Drosophila melanogaster: one gene and its partners. The protein of the gene in region 3 purifies or fractionates together with the protein of the main gene of each other region. This does not show direct contact. Each region holds a gene or a part of one and is shown on either strand. Other genes may lie near its edges.

Region 1 (5,168 bases), on a different chromosome or scaffold from region 3:
ATCCGTTGGTCGGAGCATCATCATCAACACCGGCAGCCTTCGTTTTGGGAGTCGGCTTGGCCTTGGACTGTCCCTCCACCTTAGGTGTGGGCTTGGGCTGCTCGTCTGTCTTCGGCTTCGACTGCTCCTCCTTCGTCTTGGAGTGGTCCAATTTCTTGCGCTTCGCAGGCTCTTCTTTTTCTGCCTTCAAGGTCGGTTGATCCTCTATCTTGGGCTTGGACTGGTCATTCTTCGGCTTAAGCTGGCTTTTCTTCTTCACCTTCGTCTGGTCATCTTTGTTCTGCTGTGGCGGTTCTTCCTTTTTTGCTTTCTTCGACTTGGGCTCGGCCTCCTTGACCTCCTCTACTACCCATGCGTTGTTTATGCTAGAACGCACCTTTGCATTGTAATTCACCTTCTTCTGCAGCTCAGGAGGCAGAGCCTTGCTAATAACCTCATCGTAGTTGTGCTCGTCCACCTCCTCAAAGTTAATGGACTGCAGTAGGCGTTTGCGTTTGGATTTGTTGAGCTTCTTCAGTTTTCTTCCGGTTGCAAAGACCTCGTCCTCCATCTTATCTAAGGCAGCCACTTTTTGCTCCACCATTTCGGACAGAGTTTGTCCCTCCACCTTTGGCATTGTCCTCACGCCAAGTGGAAACTCTCCTCTCTGGTAAGTCTCAAAGATCTGGATAAGTTTGCGCAATCCCTTGCGTCTCTTGCTGTTAAAATCGTTGGTGCGTAGCTGCGTCTGCAGCTCATCTAGTACGCAATCAGCGTTGAGCGGCAGCTCCGGCATGTGAACGTCCACGTTGCCCGCTCGGGGATCCAAGGATGTGGCCCGCGGCTGCTCCTCCTCGGCGTTGACCTCGTCATCCTCCTCGTCAAATCCAGAATCTAGTTTCTCAATGTCATCAATGGAGGCGGTGGGGAAACCCATCTGCTTCCAGGCATTGTACTTTTCGCTGTACTGTCGTCCTAAGTCGCTCTGGTACATCAGATGATAGAGTACCCTTGTGCGGCACTGTGCCACTAGCTTAGCATCGCGTTGTGTAGCAATGTAGGTGACAAACGGACGCAAGAACATATTAACCTGAGCAGCAGTGATCTCACCATTGGCCGCCTTGGCCAGCTCCTCAAAGAAAACATCTAGGTAGTGCATGGTCATGCCGCGAGACTTAGGCTGCTCCGACATCACAGAAAGCTGCATGCTGCTGTTGAATGCGGCTATCAGGTCCGCATTCCAGTTGTTCTGTTTGAGGAATCTCAGTAGATAACGCACCATGCGGCGGGTGAGCATCAGGAATTTGTCCATGCGCCACTGATCTATGCCAAAGTACTCCTGGCACATTGTGCGCATAAACGCACTAAAGTAGGCCAGACTGCAGGCCGTATTACCGCCGAAGCTGTCCACCATTTGAGCCAACTTCTCGGCCAGCTCCTCCTGCACCAGCGGCTTATCCGACATCCACATGGTGTAGTACAATCCCTTCCAGATGCGCATGAAGTCGTCCTCGTTGAAGGGAAAGGAGCTACCGGCACGCGCCTTGAACCACTTGCGCAAAATGCGGATCTGGCGATTACGCTCCACCACATCGTTGCAGGCAAGAGCACGTATAATTTTCACCTCCTGGGCGACCACCATCAGCTCCTTGGCCACCTTCGGCTGTGAAGCGTCCTCCTCCTGCTCGACCTGGATTTCGGCCGCCTCGGCGTTGCGCTTAACTGGCTTCTTGCGCGTCACCATTATCCGGCTAATTCAACTTTTAGTTGCGAAAAATAAGTGAGCTGTGTATATTGAATACGGTACGGCACGACCGCACGTGTTGCCGTTCGATGTTGCCAGATGTTGAAACGACATTTTCTCCAAATTTCGTCCAACAGCTCTAAATGCATGAGCTGTACTGAAAATGACAACAAAAACTCAAGCTAATGAAATAATTTTCAAAGAATAAAATAAAGAAAAAAAGAATAATAAAAAGAATATTTAAATTGCTAGTTTTGATACTTCATGAAACGCTTGCTTTATACATTTTAATACAATTTTATATATTTTTAGCCATTTATAGGTTGTTATTTTATAGCTACCAGCGCTGACTTCTTTACGGAAAGTGGCAACTCTCTTCCACAGCTGATAATTCGGTCTGCTTTTTGTAAATTTTGCTTGTCCAGCAAATTTAGTTAAATAATTCAAAGAAATCATGCCCGTGGTGAACGTGTCGGCTGCCGAGGAGTACCAGAAGTACATTAATGCGGATAAGACGACCGTAGCTCTATTCGCCGCCGAATGGGCAGAGCAATGCGGTCAGGTGAAAGACGCGCTGGAGGAGCTGGCCAAGATTACTGGCGAAAAACTGCAGTTCATCAGCCTAAACGCTGAACAATTTCCCGAGATTTCCATGAAACATCAGGTACGCTCGTATTTATTTTATGAAAATATAACAGTAGTTCCTCATTCATTTGCGATGCCACCAGATCGAGGCCGTGCCCACAGTCATATTCTTCGCCAAGGGCTCCGCCGTTGACCGTGTCGATGGTGTAGACATCGCCGCCATAAGCGCCAAATCCAAAAAGTTGGCCGAAAACGCAAGCAGCGCGGCGGCAACAGGACAAACGTTGGAGGAACGCCTAAAGGCCCTAATCAATACAGCTCCGCTGATGATATTCATGAAGGGCGACCGAAATGGACCGCGTTGCGGATTCTCCAAGCAGCTCATCGGCATTGTGAACGAAACCAAGTATGCAAATTGATCATCAGTTGTATTTGATTTCAAGTTATAAACGAAAATATCCTTCGATAGCTTGCCGTACGAGACATTTGACATCCTCGGCGACGAAGAAGTGCGTCAAGGCCTGAAAACCTACTCCGACTGGCCCACATATCCCCAGGTTTACGTCAAGGGTGAACTTATCGGCGGACTCGATATTATTAAGGAACTGCTGGCGAACAATGAGCTCGAGTCCACGCTAAAGGGCTAATTCCATCGGATTGCATCTACTCCTACAGACACCATAAACCAGAAACAAATTTTTAGCTAGATCCTTAGACTTTTTAATGGTTTAATAAAGGATTTTTGCTACATTCTGGTATTATTTTATTCATCGAAATTTTTAATAACAATTGTATTAAAGCAAATGTGCTATAGGTCATCCATAAGACATCTTACACGGGCTTCAATGGTGTCACCATAAATGTTTACAAACTTAACGACATAAATATAGCTAGAAATTTGTAAGAACTTTTTTATACACCAGCCCTGGTTTATCTGGTATTTTGCGTACCTTCATTTTGTAAACAGCTGTTTCGGCGTCGGCATCTTGCACATTATTTTCGCAATATTATTTATATTATTGAAAATACCCATTAACTATAAACTTATATCCAAATCTTTAAATGGCTGAGGGTAATACCGCTGGCGGAGAGGACCAAAAGCTGACGGACATCTTTCTAAAGGGCTGGAACATATTCGACGAGCTAGAAGTTACCGAACTGCCCTTCAATGGCAGCGAATTTCAGGTGTGTAATATTGAAGATCTTCATATATATGTAATAAAAACCAGCATTGAACGTTTACCACAACGTTTAGAACAAAGTGAAGACTGCAATGGGCCTTTTCGAGCAGGCCACCGTCATTGTGAACCAGGTTAGCATGTTCAGTGCCAACGAGTTGATCGACGAGGTGTCCACGGAATCGCTACCATTCATGCTGCTCCCTTACTTTCTGGGCAAGCTTACCACTAAGATCAACAGCCCCAATAACACACACTCCATAGAGCTGGGCGAGATTTACTTCAAGGACCACCTGCAGCGTTGCCAGGAGTATGATCTCTGTGCAGCGCCCAAATCTCAGGTGGCTAAGGCGGATAGCCAAGCGGAAAAAAGCGAGCAGCGCGAGCTGGTAGAGGCAGCCTTCAATAGAAACGACAAAATAGCCCAGTATCGCCGGATGAAGGAGATTGACGAGTATATGGCCAGAATGCGCGATGCAGTCAAGAACAAAACGGTCGACGATGAGGATAAACGTGTCTTTTTCCTCAAGTATTTGGACAAGAGTATAATAGACTCCAAGCAGGAATTAGAAACATTGGGCGTAATGAAGCAGCTGGCCCAGATGCGCCTTGCCCGATTGGCTGGTGGCGAATCCGACAACGAAGTGGATTCGTTCCGTCCACCGAATCAAAATCAATCTTCTGCATCGTCCACCTCCCGCGGTCATGGTCACAGCCACGGACCCGGACACCACCACCATCATCAGCAGGCCGCTAAGCCAAAGCCCTTGCAGCCCTTCATCATAACACGTAATGCCACCCAGAAGGCGGTTTTCGGCTTGGGATACCCCAGTTTGCCCATTATGACTGTTGATGAATTCTACCAGCAGCGCGTCGACGAGGGCATCTTTCCTGATGAGGAGAAGGTTGCCAAGATGAATCAGGCACAGGCCATCGCGGCCGCCCGGGATCCCAACGAAAAAGAGGACGAGGAGAAGGCCGTTGAGGAGCTACAGGCGGAGCAGGATGATCCCGAGTATATAGACCGCATGAGGCGCATGGATGAATACAAGGATGTGGTGCGTCGCGGTGACGGCAACCGTCATAACCGTAGTTAAGGAACTCAAAATTTATGTATTTTTTTAAAACCCAATAAAATGGTATAACCGCAAGACTGGTTTTAAGTCAGTATATTCAAAAAATAATTCTAGTTTCTAAATTTATTTATAAATCCTAGGGATGCGCTATTGATAAAATAAAAATTGTTTTCTTTTTTATTGAATTGACAATATATACAGTAAATAAATAGTTAGAATAGTTCCACTGTTGCAGTATTGGTAGGCGTTTGGCTGTAATCGCGCATTTTGCAGCACTGATTGTCACCACCAGTAACAAAAACAAAAATCTCAAGCACAAGTTAAATTTTTGTGAGTTGCTACACAAAAAACGTAAAAGAGAAGACAGTTCTCTCGAAATATTGATAGATCAACAAAGATTAAAGTGAGGTGTGTTAAAATACAGCAGATACGTGGTAGTATCAAGTGTTAACACTTTTCGTACTCTGCAGCAACCCAAAAGCAGAATGTCAGTACGAGACTTTATCAAGGGTCTGCCCATACACGATTCGAGCAATTTTACCCATTTGAGCAACGAACATGGAATTCGAACGTCGCAGAAGCGTGCCTCCGTCTACCTGCCCACCG
Region 2 (5,251 bases), 2.5 Mb from region 3:
TTTTCCGGCCGCAGAAAGCTGCAGTCCAAGTGAGCATTGCGTCCTCGCTTGCCGGCTGTGCGGCTCCAGCCCCTGGGTTGCCGAGTTGCAGGCGGAACAGAAGGAGCGTCTGGTGCTCCAGGTTCCCCTTGGTTGGGTTGTCGATTGCCTCCGGCTGGGATCACACGTCCATTGCGCCGAAAGTAGAAGTACGGACGGTAGGCTCCGCCTCCGCGACCACGACCACGCACAAATCGCGATGGGGCGCCCCCCCGGGAAAGCGTTGGATTCATTTCAGCTGGGGAAAGTTTACAAATTTGCCCGCTTTTAAATAGAGATGATACCTATATTACAAATGACATGAAATATCGATAACGATCTTTGGCTAAGATATTGAACCCTTAACGATTTTATATTTAAACTTATAAATCGATGTAATAAAATTATTTTGGAATTATTTCGGCGGACACTTGTGATATCTTCGATTCTTGCTTCAGTATGCTCAGCTGGGCGGGAAGGTAGTGTTCAAATACACCCGATAGCTTCGACTTGACCTCACGAAATGTTTCCAACACTTTTATCTCCTCGTTCTCATCAGTGGGCTGCACGGCCTTTAGTTCATGTAGTAATTCGGTGCAGCCGTCGAGGAGCATCACCTGCTTCAGGTGAAGCTTAAGCAGCTCCTGCTGAATTGTCTTGATGCACTGGATTTGTTGGTCCATGCGCAGTGGAATCGTGGAAAGAGCCAACATTTGCTCCATATGCTTTTTATCCTTCACGAACATTTTAGCAGCACTTTCCATGGCTTCAGCAGGTTTTGCTTCAATCTCCTTGGGATCTTTGTGCTTTTTATCCTCCACGATCGTTTTATGAATAATTTCCATGTTTTCAGCAGGTTTTGCTTCAATCTCCTTGGGATCTTTAATGCACGGAGCTTCCGTCTCGGTTTTAGCTGGAATCTGTAAGGGAAATTAGGGCTTACTAACTAACTAGCCTTAGAAATTGACAGCTATCGCCTTTTTTTTTGGTTATCTACAGCTTTGTATTTATTTATTTTTTTTTTTACCATTTTGTTCTCTGCTGAAAAGTTTTAGAGACCGTATGCAACCAATGATAAAACTGAATAGCAGATCGAATACTAAGTCAAAGCCTCCTTTTAATAAGAAACTCATAGTTTTTTACAGAACATTCAGAGCGATCTAGGGTTCTGGTTTCTGGTCACCTTTTTTCGGGAAAAGTGAACTCAGATTGACGGGACAGTTGTCCAGGCGGGCCAGTTGCTTAACCATGTCATCCAGGAGCAGGCTGTTCCGCTCGTCGGAACCCTGGATGAGCCCGTAGGCCTCTGCGTTGGCGATTCGGTGCTGCAGAAGCGGCATGTAGGGTCCATTGAAATGCGGCTGTCCATTGGCCAATTCCGGCGGAGGCTTAGCAGTGGGAATAAAGTCCGTTTCCGACTTTGGGGACCGGCAAGTCGGCTGGTTTGGCCGAAACTTTGGAGTCCTATAGCCCAACTTTCGCTTCTTTTCCGCCTGCAAGTGATTTTCGCTCACGTCGTCGGACTCGTAATGATGGTTATAAAACCGGATGCCGTATATTGCGGGCTTTGGCTAAATTAGGTAGATTTATCTTTAGATAAATTAATATTTTGTGTTATAGATAGTGTTGATGGTTAGAAACTGAGACATATCTCCAAATCTCCAATACTCACAGCTCTCTTGCGCTCCTCATCGTAGCCATCGTCATCCGAATCATCATCCTGTTCATCATTGTCCATTTCAATGGGAATCCGGTCACTGGTCACCGGCACCTGGGGCACGAATTCTGAGGCACTTGCTCGGAGTCCATTAGGGGAGACCGCGGTCGGCGGAGAAGCAGAAGCCGAAGTCGGAGGAGTAACGGCTGGAGTCACCTCATTGCTCATGGACTCTAGTTCCAGACATAAACGTTTGTAGGCCATCGTGGTTCTTTCCAAGTGGTTGAGATCCAATTTGCCAGCGATATGGGCAACGTTCTGGAGGAATTTTTTACTTTCATCCATAAAGAGCGAAGTCACAATCAAATTCCTTTGTGGATGGCGCAAACATTAAAAATTTTAAACATTTAACACAAACTTGATTTGTTTAGCATTCGATGTTTCGATTCGATTTCTGACAGAAAATCTGGAACTGTCAAACATATTTAAATTGGTTGATGTACAACAATTTATAAAAAAATATTAATAACGAACTAAAAAACTTGTAGTATTTAATGGAATTGTCCACAATTTTAAAAATTTAGCTCAGTGTGACCATTTCGGTCGCGACTTATCGGTCTTGTCGATAAATTAGAGCTGCAAAATTTGTAAACAGTGGACGCCTATAATTAAAAACAATATTTAACATCGAAAAAATAACGTTTTCAACGTTAATTTAAATAATTAATTTAAAATACAATTCAACATGCCGGTTAGTGGATACTTGCGCATCAAAGGCAAACGAGTTGGCGTTGAGATATTCCCAGTTCTTTTCACCTGCTTTCGTGACCCCCTGCCAAGCATAAAAATTTCCAAGGGAAAAGGCAATCTTGTAAATTAACTATGCTTTCAGGCCTACCACTCGCAGATCAAGGAAGTGCGCCAGCAGGTGGGCAACATGGCCATCCTGCCGCTGAGGACGCAGGTGCGCGGGCCAGCGCCCAGTGCGAATATTGAGAGCGACATCATTGATGAGTCACTGTACTACTTCAAAGCCAATGTCTTCTTTCGCACGTACGAAATCAAGGTGAGGCCGTAATCCGGGATTCAGAACCATTACCTGGTCACGTGATGGTCATATTGAATCCTTATGCTACTTGCTACTTGAATTCACAAACTATGTTTTACCATTTTCAGTCCGACGTGGATCGCGTGCTCATCTATGTGACGCTCTACATAACAGAGTGCCTCAAGAAGCTCAATCGCTCCACGAGCAAGGCCCAGGGACAGCAGGACATGTACAGCCTGGCCATCTCCAAGTTCGACATTCCCGGCGATGCTGGCTTCCCATTGAACGCCGTCTATGCCAAGCCGCAAACGGCCCAGGATGCGGATCTGATGCGCCAGTACCTGCTGCAGCTGCGCCACGAAACCGGCAACCGGGTACTGGAGAAGGTCTTCAACACCGAGGATGGCAAGCCCAATAAATGGTGGACCTGCTTCGCGAAGAAAAAGTTCATGGAGAAGAGTCTGGCTGGACCTGGACAATAAACAGCTATCCACAATATCTGGTATCTTGTTTTGCTTCTACGACGGGTAAAAATACCCTTCAATTAAGTTTTACTCGCAGCGTGGTCCTAATTTGCAGTATCACTGCCAACGTGTCACAATTAATTAAATTCATTAACCACTAAATAAATTATTTGAATTTGTAAGCCTTTCTGTTTTAATTAATTTATGTAAATTCTTTTTACAAAATTAACGTGGATAAAACTGCAAGTAACTTTCATAAATAATATCTGTTTCTAATAACTGACCAGCAAATGGAAGTTATTGCCTATAATTTGTGTAATCAAAATCGGAATAGTAAAGTATTAACTAAGTTTCATTTATTTGTAGTCGCTCCGTCATTGGAAAAAATGCTTTCTATTGGCCTGTTAATTAAATAAACTTTGTCATCTGTCGAATACAACGTGGAACTCTTTGAATATAAATAATTTATATTTATTAGGCCAGTTGAGTAATTAAAAAAAATACAACTGACTTTCGCTTAAGACGAAGCCACAGCAACGATCTTTAATTGGAAAATCGTTCTAAACAAGGAATTCTAGGGGTACAAGCAACTTTAACGATAGAGATGGTCGGCCTGCAAGTTAGAGGCAATCTCGGACTCCCACTTGTCGCCGTTGCAGAGAAGCTTCTCCTTGTTGTACAGCAGCTCCTCGTGCGTCTCCGTGGAGAACTCGAAGTTGGGTCCCTCGACGATGGCGTCCACGGGACAGGCTTCCTACGCGGGGGGACAAAAAGATGCAATTAGTTTCTAGTAAATTGTGGCGCCACTTTGCTCCTCCTCACCTGACAGAATCCGCAGTAGATGCACTTGGTCATGTCGATATCGTAGCGTGTGGTACGTCTGCTGCCATCCGCGCGCTCCTCCGCTTCGATGGTGATCGCCTGTGCGGGGCAAATAGCCTCGCATAGCTTGCAAGCGATGCAGCGCTCCTCTCCACTGGGATAACGACGAAGGGCATGTTCTCCGCGGAATCGCGGGCTCAGTGGTCCCTTTTCAAAGGGATAGTTGATAGTGGCCGGTTCCTTGAAGATGTGCGCCAGGGTGACGGCAAATCCACGTAAGAGTTCACCGAAGAACATGGTGGATGCAGCACGGTCCGTGATGTCGGCAAACTCCATGCTCAGTTCCTTGTTGTTTACATACACATAGCCCTTGGGAACCTCGACGATATCTTTGGGTTCTGCTCGCTGGGCGGCCAGCAGCCGGGCTCCATGGCTGCCAAACAGGCGCTGTCCTGTGGGGAGAACATTTTACCATTAAATAACATGCTTAAGTCGAAAAGTTATACTGAATTAAGCGAGTTTAGACTTTTGTTTTGGTATGACATAAGCTTACATAACCTCACTCGCCGCGATTTCCACGAAAATGGGAAATTTCCCGGAAAACAACGGATGTGAGGGGATGGGTCGCCACCTACCGTTGCGCGATGCGGTGAAAATTCGCATAGTTAGCGACATTTTTGCGACCAAATTAAACTAAAATTGCCAAAGAAGTTGTTTTGCTATTGAATTTGCCCGAACAAATTAGAGCTGGGTTTCTTTCGATTACCCACATAAATTCAATGCTCAAATATCGTATTCAAATATATCGTAGTTTCTTAATGACATAAACCAAAAATAAAATATGAGATATAAAATATAAATAATGTAACAAAGAATTAAATATTCGTGTAAAAATAATAAATAATATTAACAAATAATCCAGAAAGACTGTGAGAAAAAAAAGAAAACATTTTTTTTATACGAATACCCCTAATAAAAACCTTAAAGCTTCGATAATGGCACTATCGATATAAATTCGCACTTTTACACTTTTCAACATTGACTTTGAAAATCCCCACCACTACAATTTACAGTTTAACTTTTCCCGCTACGCGGAATTGTGAAATTTTTCATTGTTTATGTCGGAAAATGGATCAGGAGGTTATGGATTTCTTTGACTTCTCGAAGGAGTTGAAGCGCGTGGCCGCCGCCCCGCAAGGCTACATCAGCAGCGATCCGAGGCTAATGGCCACGAAGTTCAAA
Region 3 (4,541 bases):
CAAAAGCCCAAATGCAAAAACGGGTTTTACTTACTTAACCCAAGATTTTGCATAGTCTTCACAAGTCTTCCTACTAATTTTTATTTGCTATGCAAAAGCGGAATGAATAAGTATGAAATAGGTGAAATAACCATTCTACATTGTCAGCACGTTTTCCTGTTCATCGTATACATACGTACGTATTATGTATGTATGTATTTTTCTGTACTTTTTGTTCTCCCTGCCGTTCCATTCCAGCTCGTGCAGTTCGTTCTAAAAGCGTATTTACATACACACAACTATTGATAGACATACTGCATATACAATGTAGTTTTGTGCTAAACCCACAAATTCTAGACAAACAATGCGGTCTGAAAATTGCACGTTTGCATGTAAAATATATGGGGAGCAGCAGATGAAATTCATCACTGAATGCTCCTCCATCTCCTACCCCTGCAATCCACTCGTGCGTTTCATGGCGGGACACTTGGCGAATGTGGGTCAAAGTTGAACACAATCAGAGCTGAAAGCTTACATCAGTACTTTCGAACACGCCCACATTTCTGTGCACTCCAATGTGTATCCGAGTACTGAGTGCAAAAGCAAAACACTTGCCGCCCATTTCAGTAGTTAAAAAACAATGCACTTTGAAAAGCCTATAAAGAGGATCTTTTGTGCCATTTGCGTGTAGCATCAGATTCAGTCGTATAAATGATACCCTTGGGCGTATAATAATATTTAATATTCTGATACTTTTTGATATCATCTGCCGTTATCATAACGAAACGGTGTATACGATTTAAGTAAGCATATTAAACCGCTTTATTGCTTGGCATTTCATAAGATTGCACTTCTCTAAAAGATTGTGTAATATATATATATATATATGTATATATACATTGCGTGATATACATTTCCTGTTTTTGTCATATGAAGATTGCTCTGCGAAGGGTTTTTATCACTGGGCACTGGCGTAGAGAAAAAGGGTGCTGGAATAGCATATGTTATATGGTTATGGCTACCATGTGAGGATCGCCCGAAAGTCAGTCAGCTGGAAAGTGAGGTAAGCGCGCAAATGCACCACCTGCTGCGTCCGAAAGTGACAAAACGAAAACGAAACTCCTTCGGTTTTCTATTTTATTAATGGGTAAAGAAGAAGCTTCGTGCAGAGTTACACAGAGAGAAAAACTGCAAATGTATGACTCGTAAAAAAAGTGTATTTAGTGACCAATGGTGACCATTTGAAGCGGTATTTATGTAGGCAGCTGTTCTCTAATAATTCCAGTTATTCGTTAAATGCAATGACAGTGTTTTTCGTGTGCTGGCGATTATGCAGTCAAAACAGAAAATGGGTTTCCCATCCCATCCATAAATGTCACTGTACTCCCCGCTTATCGCTTGAGGCTTGAGTAAACAGTCGGAACAAACGTAGCATATCGGTTTATGCAATACTTTTTGAATTGTACAATAACTATTGTGCAGTCGCCAAGTTTCCCCTTTTGCCTTATACTTGCAGTCAGCCGGGCAAACATTTAATTAATTAACAAATGCGACCTTGACTGGAATTTCAATTAAGTAAGTAGCTTGAGCAAAACTTTGATGAGAATGGTGGAGTGATGTTACATATGTATGTATGTTTGCAAAAGCAAGCAGTTGTCAGGGTGATGTTGTGGTTAAATATCAATTGCGGGTAACTAACCTTTTGGTGATTTCCGATTCGTTCCGATCCGATTCGTTTCGATTCAAAAAAAAAAAACCGATCCGCAAAGTTGGTTTAGTGGTTTTTTTTTGTCTTTGCCTTTTTGGTTCGCAGAGGGTGGACCAAAACAGTTAAAAGTTAAAGAGAGTGACTAATGCCGCACGCACACAGTCGCACTCAATTTGTTGTCATACACACACAGAGAGACAAGCGCACACTCGCGGGCATCAACTTTGCACTCTTCTCACCCCCTCTCGCTCGTTCACTCGCATTCAAGGTGGTTAACGAGAGGTGAGCCAACAAAAACAACAACAGCAGCAGCCGCGGAGCGCACTCACACACACGCGCTAAATAGCTGAACAGCAGCTGCAAAAGTAGTAGCACGTATCCGCAGAGACAAAAACGAAGAAAGCAGGAGATGGAGAAGGAAGTGCGCCTGCAGCTGCGACAATTATCACCCGATTATTTCGCAGCGTGTATTGCGAAATGTGCGCCTTCGATTTGCTAAATACTTTTGCTTAATTATACGCACGCACACACACACCAAGGCACTTTCCCATAACGAATTTAATTCAATTCAACGACGTGCTGCACGAATCGCTTTCAGCTGTGCATTTAATAGCGATATTTGTCGGCCTTGATATGCGTCGATGTTTTTCAATGGTGTCGCAGAAGAGTTATGGAATAATTTAATTATTTTTCGTTTTTATTGCGCCGCGAACGCGTCCGTTATGTTGATTCTGCCAGAGTGACCGTGGCTTGCAGTCGAAATAATCCAGCGATTAAAAGTTTAATTTTCCCGCGGTTTTCAGCACTGTTTTCTATCGATTAATTTAAATGCTTAGATGTGTTTCCACTGGCATCATGGTTATAATAGGTTTTAACTTGTTTGGTTCCTTTTGAAAGTACTTAATCTAATTATACTCTCCTTGACTAATTGCTTTGGAAAATGTTGATAGCGAAACCTTTGTTTTTAATAAAAGACAACTGTTTCTTCTCTTGAAATCTCTAGTGTGAAGATGCTGAAATGACCCACGATGTAACCGTTTCTCCGGTTAAATTGCAACACAGTCTGACCAGATCAAGGTGCCCAAGAAAATACTTCCAAATTAAAAGCAAACTTTGCTTTCCGCATCCCTTAGAAAAATAGAATCCCGATATATATTATTTGGACTGCTCGAACGCCGCCGACGAGCCCAAAAACGCGCGCACATTTACAACGACAACAATACAAACTTGAGCTCAGTACGTAAACTTTTTTGACCAGCTGCCGTTAGAAGCAAATCAAAGCTGCGACGATGGATGACTCACGCGAAGAAAGCCAGTTCATTGTGGACGACGTGAGCAAGACGATTAAAGAGGCCATCGAGACGACCATCGGCGGTAACGCCTACCAGCACGACAAGGTGAACAACTGGACCGGCCAGGTGGTGGAGAACTGCCTGACGGTGCTCACCAAGGAGCAGAAGCCCTACAAGTACATTGTGACCGCCATGATCATGCAAAAGAACGGTGCTGGACTCCACACCGCCAGCTCCTGCTACTGGAACAACGACACCGACGGATCGTGCACAGTACGCTGGGAGAACAAGACCATGTACTGCATCGTTTCGGTCTTCGGACTGGCCGTCTAGAGTGGAGGAATGGCAGGACTGCCGGAATTCGCGATGAAGATGACTTAAAAGGGGGAGGGACTAACAAGATTGCCGTCGTACACCAGCACACACCAACAACACAAATACCATACTTTTTTGATCGGCCATCCATCCTGCTGTAATAACAAAATTTATTATGGAGCACTTGAAAACCTTGTCGTCACTTCCAAGCAATTAGCAAGCAACTATTCCGTTGCCAGTGTACTCGCCTAATGTTATTCTTGATTTTCAATCTAAAAACGTAAATAAAAAGTGTATAATACCGTAGCATAATAAGTTAATCATTGCAAACTGTTTTCAATGGGTCATCATTTTTTGGGTCGTGGGAATATTTTTCGTTTCCATGGCAGCAATTGGCCATTGGTCTAAAATCGATTTAAATTCCCAGGCATTTGTTAAAATTAAACTTTAATGGTCTTTCTCTTATTTCTTTATTTATTTTAGTTTATCAAAACCTTCTATCGTTTAGAATAATAATATTCCTTCTGGCATTGCCCAAAATAACAAAATCAGAAGTACCTGGATGCAATAAATGTAATTGGCGCGCCAGGGTTTGTTAAATCGATGGCGGGCGCGGTGTCCTTGAAGATACTCCTACTTCTTGCGCTGGAAGCGACGGCCCGACTTTAGAGCCGGAACCTTGCTGGGCAGGCGCAGGCTAAGGATGTCCGAATTGGATTTTGGCAGAGCGTTCACAATGTGGGCGTACTGCTTGATCCGAGCCTTGGTGGTGGCCAAAGCACGGGAGAGGACATTGATGTCCACTTCGAACTTCTCACTGAGGAGCAGGGCCATCACAATAAAGTGTGTCAGTGCCTTTTCACTGCTGAAATTGGTGCGAGTTCCCTTCTTTGCCACATTGGGATCCGCAAAACGATGGCGTATATCATTCTCGATCTTCTCCGTGATACCAGAGAGCTCAGCCTTTTGCATTTGACGCGAACGAAGGGAAATTAGCGACTGCAAGGCGTCCATGTAGATGATAAGTTTAATGTGCAAGAAGTCTCGCTTGGATGAAACGGGATTTTCCTGAATTTTGGCCAAACATGACTTGAGGTATTCCGATTTAATGCTGCAAGGAACAGAAATTTTAACATTTAAATGTTACTGCTTTTACCAAACTACATACGGTAGAGTCTGCACAGGCGTGGAGAACACCACTTTGGCCTCCTCCTCGAGACGTTCGAGCAGAGAGCTCGGGATCAAAC
Region 4 (4,925 bases), on a different chromosome or scaffold from region 3:
TCGGTTCTACAAAATTGCGCTACGTCTATGTCTCTAGAACCACTGTTCTTAATCTCAACCTTCTAGCTTTTATAGTTCCTGGGATCTCGACGTTCATACTAGATCGACTGATCCTGATCAAGAATATATATATATGTAGTTGGTCGGAAACGCTTCCTTCTGCTTATTACTTACTTTTCAACGAATCTAGTATACGAATATCGGGTATAAAATTTATTTTAAATATCTTTGTTAAATTTTATGAGCTGTTGATAACGAAATCGAAAAGTTTGTACTTTTTTTTAAATCAAGTGCATTAAAATTAAATTTGTGGCTTAAAATGTATTGTAATAGCTTATAACTTATTATGCTGTAGCATACGAAAAATGGTTCTTAAAATCCTAACTTGCATGAGTTGAATATTTCGAAATTTCAAATGTTCCCGGCTACTTAGTTGTAAAGTGTGGCCGTTTCTCCTACATCGAAATCGATAGGTTCGAAATGTAAACAAACATGGAAACTGAAACTGAAGCGCAGAAATTGTATTAGCTATGGCCAAAAATGTAAAGAAATTAACGTTGGCCAACAAGTTGGCAAAACGCGGAGATCTTATAAAACCCACGGAAATAAAAAGTCGTCCAAATAGGGCGGATAACGTGAGGGTAGGCGGAAATGCATGATAAACAATGAAATTGATACTCAAGACGCAGTTTCTAAATCTTCCAGGATATAGAGGATCTGGTTGGTGTATCTGCTGGCGCAGCAGGATCGAGTAGCTCAGTGTTCTTCTCCCCCGTGCAAACCCGCAAGCAGCGTCTCTTAAATGGGGAAGCCGTGAAGAAAACTAACATTAAAATGGAGCCCTTGTCTCCAGCTCGAGTGGCACCCAAAAAGTTTAGAAAGGATGATCGCATGGTAACCAGAGTTCAAATGGGTTCGGCTACTGTGGTCATATGCAAGGTGGTCCCTGATGCTGTGGACTCCCCAGTGAGAGTGGATAAGATAAGAGAGGAGGTGGAACCCCAAATAAAACAGGAAGCTCCGGAGGATTCCCCTTCTTTTTCTGAGGTGCAAGCACCACATCCTTTGTGGTTTAACCACCTAGAAAACATTCGCATTATGAGAAACTCCAGAACTGCGCCAGTGGACACCATGGGATGCCACCGATGCGCCGATTTAAAAGCAGACTCGAAGGTATTTCCAATAAGTGGAATTAAGTACATAGAAGAATATGTTACAAGCAAACAACTTCCTTGCAGACCCAGCGCTTCCAAAACTTAGTGGCATTGATGCTGTCCAGTCAAACCAAAGACCAAACTACTTATGAAGCCATGAATCGCCTTAAAGACCGAGGTCTAACTCCACTGAAAGTAAAGGAAATGCCAGTGACTGAACTCGAGAATTTACTGCATCCCGTATCCTTCTACAAGGTTTGGTGGAATTAATAATAAATAAATATATCGCACTTACTCTCGATCTCTTCCAGAACAAAGCTAAATACCTCAAGCAAACCGTGGAGATACTGACGGACAAGTATGGTTCGGACATTCCAGATAATGTCAAGGACCTTGTAGCTCTTCCAGGAGTTGGCCCCAAGATGGCCCATATATGCATGGCAGTGGCCTGGAACAAGATAACCGGAATCGGAGTGGACGTCCACGTCCACCGCCTTTCTAACAGGCTGGGCTGGGTGCCGAAGCCCACCAAGGAGCCCGAGCAAACCCGTGTGGCGTTGGAGAAGTGGCTGCCATTCAGCCTCTGGTCAGAGGTCAATCATTTGTTCGTGGGATTCGGACAAACCATTTGCACCCCAGTGAAGCCAAATTGTGGGGAGTGCCTGAACAAGGACATTTGTCCTTCAGCCCATGCTGAAACTAAAGAAAAAAGGAAGAAAGACCGATAGGAAAGAGGTTCAGCGAACGCTGAAAAAGGTTTTAGGTTTCTAAGTGTTTCTGAAATTATTAGTGCTAAGAAAAATATTGTGTTACCCATAAGAAAATAAATGAATTATTAAGGGGGCTGTAAGTCCTGTAAAAAATAAAAAATTTTGTGGTTTTTCTTTTTTTGTTTTAACTGAAAAAGGTATATTCCCAATTTATTACAATAATTCAGTTTTTCAGGAAAAATATTGAAATATTGACACTACAATATTTCGTATTTCTTATATACTAAATAGATGTTATTCCTACGTGTTCGACCTACGGCCACACTATCAGCTCTACGTTCGCGCGTTTTATTGTTTACCAGCGGCCCTTGTGAAATTATATAGAATACTCAATTACAAATCCCTCAAAAGCCAAGAAAATGAATGATTCATGTAAGTATAGCCCGTAGCTCAGAGAAATTAAGGGAACTAATAACGAAGCTCGTTTTAGTTGGAGATTTCAATGCCACACAAACTGCGCCAACTGGAGCCGCCAGCAATCAAAAGGGAGAAGTAAGTGAGTGAGACGCCAGTAAAGTTGCACAACCTAACATGATTCCGTATGATTGCAACTAGGGAATAGTGCCCCTGGTGGTGAAGCAGATTGTGGACGCCCCAGAGGGAAACATCGAGTTGTTCGGCATGCAGTACGCCATGGCATGTGTTGTGGCCATAGTGCGGAACGTGGAGACTTCCTCGACGAAGATCACCTACACCCTGGAGGATCATAGCGGCAGGATCGATGCGCACTACTGGCTTGAGGAGGGCGACGCTCTCAAGGCACCCGAAGTAATGGTCAACAACTACGTGAAGGTCTACGGCACCACCCGGTCGCAAGGCGGTTCCAAAACCCTAATGATCTTCAAGCTACTGCCCGTTTTGGATCCCAACGAGGTGTGCACCCACCTGCTGGAAGTACTCAATGCCCGCTACAGGGCCGAGGACTACCAGAGCAAGGGTGGAGCTGGAGCTGGTGCAGGGGCTTCTTCCGGCTCAGGCTCCATAGCTGATTTCACCGCCTCCCAGAGCTCGGCCATTGTCAGTGGGCTGGAGCCCAAGCAGCAGGCCGTATTCCAGGCCATCAAGAGCAATGTTTCCGAGGAGGGCATCTCCCGCAAGGAACTGAAAGCCAAATTCTCCCACATCAGCGACTCTGAGTTGACGTAAGTTGTTTATCCAAAACTATTGCATCATTTGATATTCTTTATTAATTAATATTAATTATAACATTTTATTGTTCCTATTTTTACAGCAACATTCTGGACTTTATGATTTCCGAGGGACACATTTATTCCAGCATTGACGCAGATCACTTTATTTGCACAATGTAAATCAAATCGTGTAACCACTATTTAATTTAAAAATGCGTATTGAATATATGTATTAAGTTTTTGAAAAACGGGAACATTTTCCATATATTAGTTGTACATTAAATATTTCTTATATAATCAGAAAGTGATTTTGGGATATTTTTTATTGGGACTGTTGAAAATGTGTATTTGAGGAAATCTTGCTCTTCAAGTTGCCGGTGTATGTGTATATTTACGGCTTATCATATGAAAAGTCTTCGGATTCATAGTCCTAAGGGAATTTAAAATATCTTACAAAAAAGATAGAAAACCTGAAATATTTTAATTATTTTATGTTTAATTAATATTCTTGTTCATTTATAAAATTGTAATGGATTATAAAGTTTTTTTGAATCGTTTCACTTTGCTTCATTTGATAAAAGGATGTGATAAGTTCATACCGCTTTATTTCATTATCAATTTATTTTTTAGATATATAACTAACTAACTTTTAACGCTAGTAAGTTAATTGTTTAATTAGGTAATGCATATTTTGATTGTATATCGGGCATAGTTAGATCGGATTGCAAAAAATTTATAAAATTCATTCAATGCGTTTTATTTCATTAGTTTTTGAATTTATCATAGAAAATTACAAGCTCAGGAATCAAAATCAAAACATAATAGGCATGCAAATCAAAAATTAAGATTAATATTTGTTGTGGGAATTTATAGCGCAAGAGAGCATTCCCCTTGGTCCCCAGGATCTTGCCAGTGAAGTTGAACTGCGCAAGTGTAAGGATTCATTTTGCGGTCGGAGTGGATAGCTAATTGTATAAAAAACCACCTTGGGATACTGATTAACGGGCACGAAGACCTTTTGGGTAATCTTTATCGGCTTCTGCTTGTACACGTCTGCGTATAACTCCTTGCCGGGAATACGTCCAGTGCCATAGACACGGTCCACAGCTGCAATGTGGGATTAATACCATTAAAATACCCTGTAAAGGGCCGAATTGATTTTACCCTCGGCAATTAGCAGTGCGCAAAGTGGAAACTCCGCGGACAATCACTGGCTCTCCTCGACCAAATCGGCGAGAAACTTTTGGGTCACCTCGTTCAGACGCGGCTGGTGGTCGTGGGAAGGTGGCTGTTTCAAAGGTAACGCGCTTGCTGTTCCCATTTTTATCGTAACAATATTTACCGAAAAATCACAATTGAAATTGATGTAGACTGAATAAAGAATTATATATCAGTGACTTAAAAAGGGAGACCTGCCAAAAGTTTGAAGTTTTGAGGCTGCCAACTTTTTCAGTGCTATAGTGATTGAACAACGGTCCAGTCGCCAATCCTTAGTTAAAAATATAAAAAATAGAACCCCGTGGAAAGATAACCATATCCGTAGTTGTTCCCCAAAAGCAAATATGTATATCCAAAGATGAACATACATACATTTGTTTTAAGCGTTTATTAACTCAGCCTTACTTTAGACATTTACAGTCATACTTAAGCTACATCAGATTAAAAACAAGAGATAATGCTATAGTCTATGTTCCCCGACTATCAGGTAACCGTTACTCAGCTAGTGTGAATGCAAACGCGGAAGTTTCATAATTTTTCTGGGATATCGGTAGATATTGGGTAATAAAATAAATAAAAAAAATTGTTCTAAAGTGTGGACGTGCAAGGTTTGGCGACTTTAGGGCGTTAGAGTGGGCGTGGCAAAAAGTTTT

What was found.
Region 1: the proteins of Dlc90F (region 3) and Tap42 purify together in Drosophila melanogaster (affinity purification with mass spectrometry, with the first as the bait; one large-scale study listed by BioGRID). This does not show direct contact.
Region 2: the proteins of Dlc90F (region 3) and Arpc3A purify together in Drosophila melanogaster (affinity purification with mass spectrometry, with the first as the bait; one large-scale study listed by BioGRID). This does not show direct contact.
Region 4: the proteins of Dlc90F (region 3) and RPA2 purify together in Drosophila melanogaster (affinity purification with mass spectrometry, with the first as the bait; one large-scale study listed by BioGRID). This does not show direct contact.

The regions. Positions count from the first base shown.
Region 1 is NT_033779.5:13,364,354-13,369,521, forward strand, and holds Tap42 (Two A-associated protein of 42kDa), read left to right. Parts: upstream 1-3,263; 5' UTR 3,264-3,370; coding exon 3,371-3,493; intron 3,494-3,563; coding exon 3,564-4,583; 3' UTR 4,584-4,668; downstream 4,669-5,168. Other genes in the region: Nnp-1, read right to left, coding at 1-1,723; Grx3 (glutaredoxin 3), read left to right, coding at 2,178-2,387, 2,452-2,714, 2,778-2,955; CG31855 (uncharacterized protein), read left to right, coding at 5,048-5,168.
Region 2 is NT_033777.3:15,832,346-15,837,596, forward strand, and holds Arpc3A (Actin-related protein 2/3 complex, subunit 3A), read left to right. Parts: upstream 1-2,302; 5' UTR 2,303-2,420; coding exon 2,421-2,426; intron 2,427-2,567; coding exon 2,568-2,741; intron 2,742-2,851; coding exon 2,852-3,205; 3' UTR 3,206-3,676; downstream 3,677-5,251. Other genes in the region: rec (recombination-defective), read right to left, coding at 1-272; CG43318 (uncharacterized protein), read right to left, coding at 423-938, 1,046-1,048; CG43317 (uncharacterized protein), read right to left, coding at 1,179-1,589, 1,691-2,020; ND-23 (NADH dehydrogenase (ubiquinone) 23 kDa subunit), read right to left, coding at 3,780-3,941, 4,010-4,461, 4,645-4,684; spn-E (spindle E), read left to right, coding at 5,138-5,251.
Region 3 is NT_033777.3:18,296,446-18,300,986, forward strand, and holds Dlc90F (dynein light chain 90F), read left to right. Parts: upstream 1-2,783; 5' UTR 2,784-2,976; coding exon 2,977-3,312; 3' UTR 3,313-3,599; downstream 3,600-4,541. Other genes in the region: Polr1E (RNA polymerase I subunit E), read right to left, coding at 3,928-4,405, 4,463-4,541. UniProt on the Drosophila melanogaster protein: Acts as one of several non-catalytic accessory components of the cytoplasmic dynein complex that are thought to be involved in linking dynein to cargos and to adapter proteins that regulate dynein function.
Region 4 is NT_033779.5:20,923,405-20,928,329, reverse strand, and holds RPA2 (replication protein A2), read left to right. Parts: upstream 1-2,182; 5' UTR 2,183-2,283; coding exon 2,284-2,296; intron 2,297-2,354; coding exon 2,355-2,416; intron 2,417-2,479; coding exon 2,480-3,066; intron 3,067-3,155; coding exon 3,156-3,234; 3' UTR 3,235-3,355; downstream 3,356-4,925. Other genes in the region: Nthl1 (Nth-like DNA glycosylase 1), read left to right, coding at 531-641, 706-1,173, 1,239-1,409, 1,466-1,882.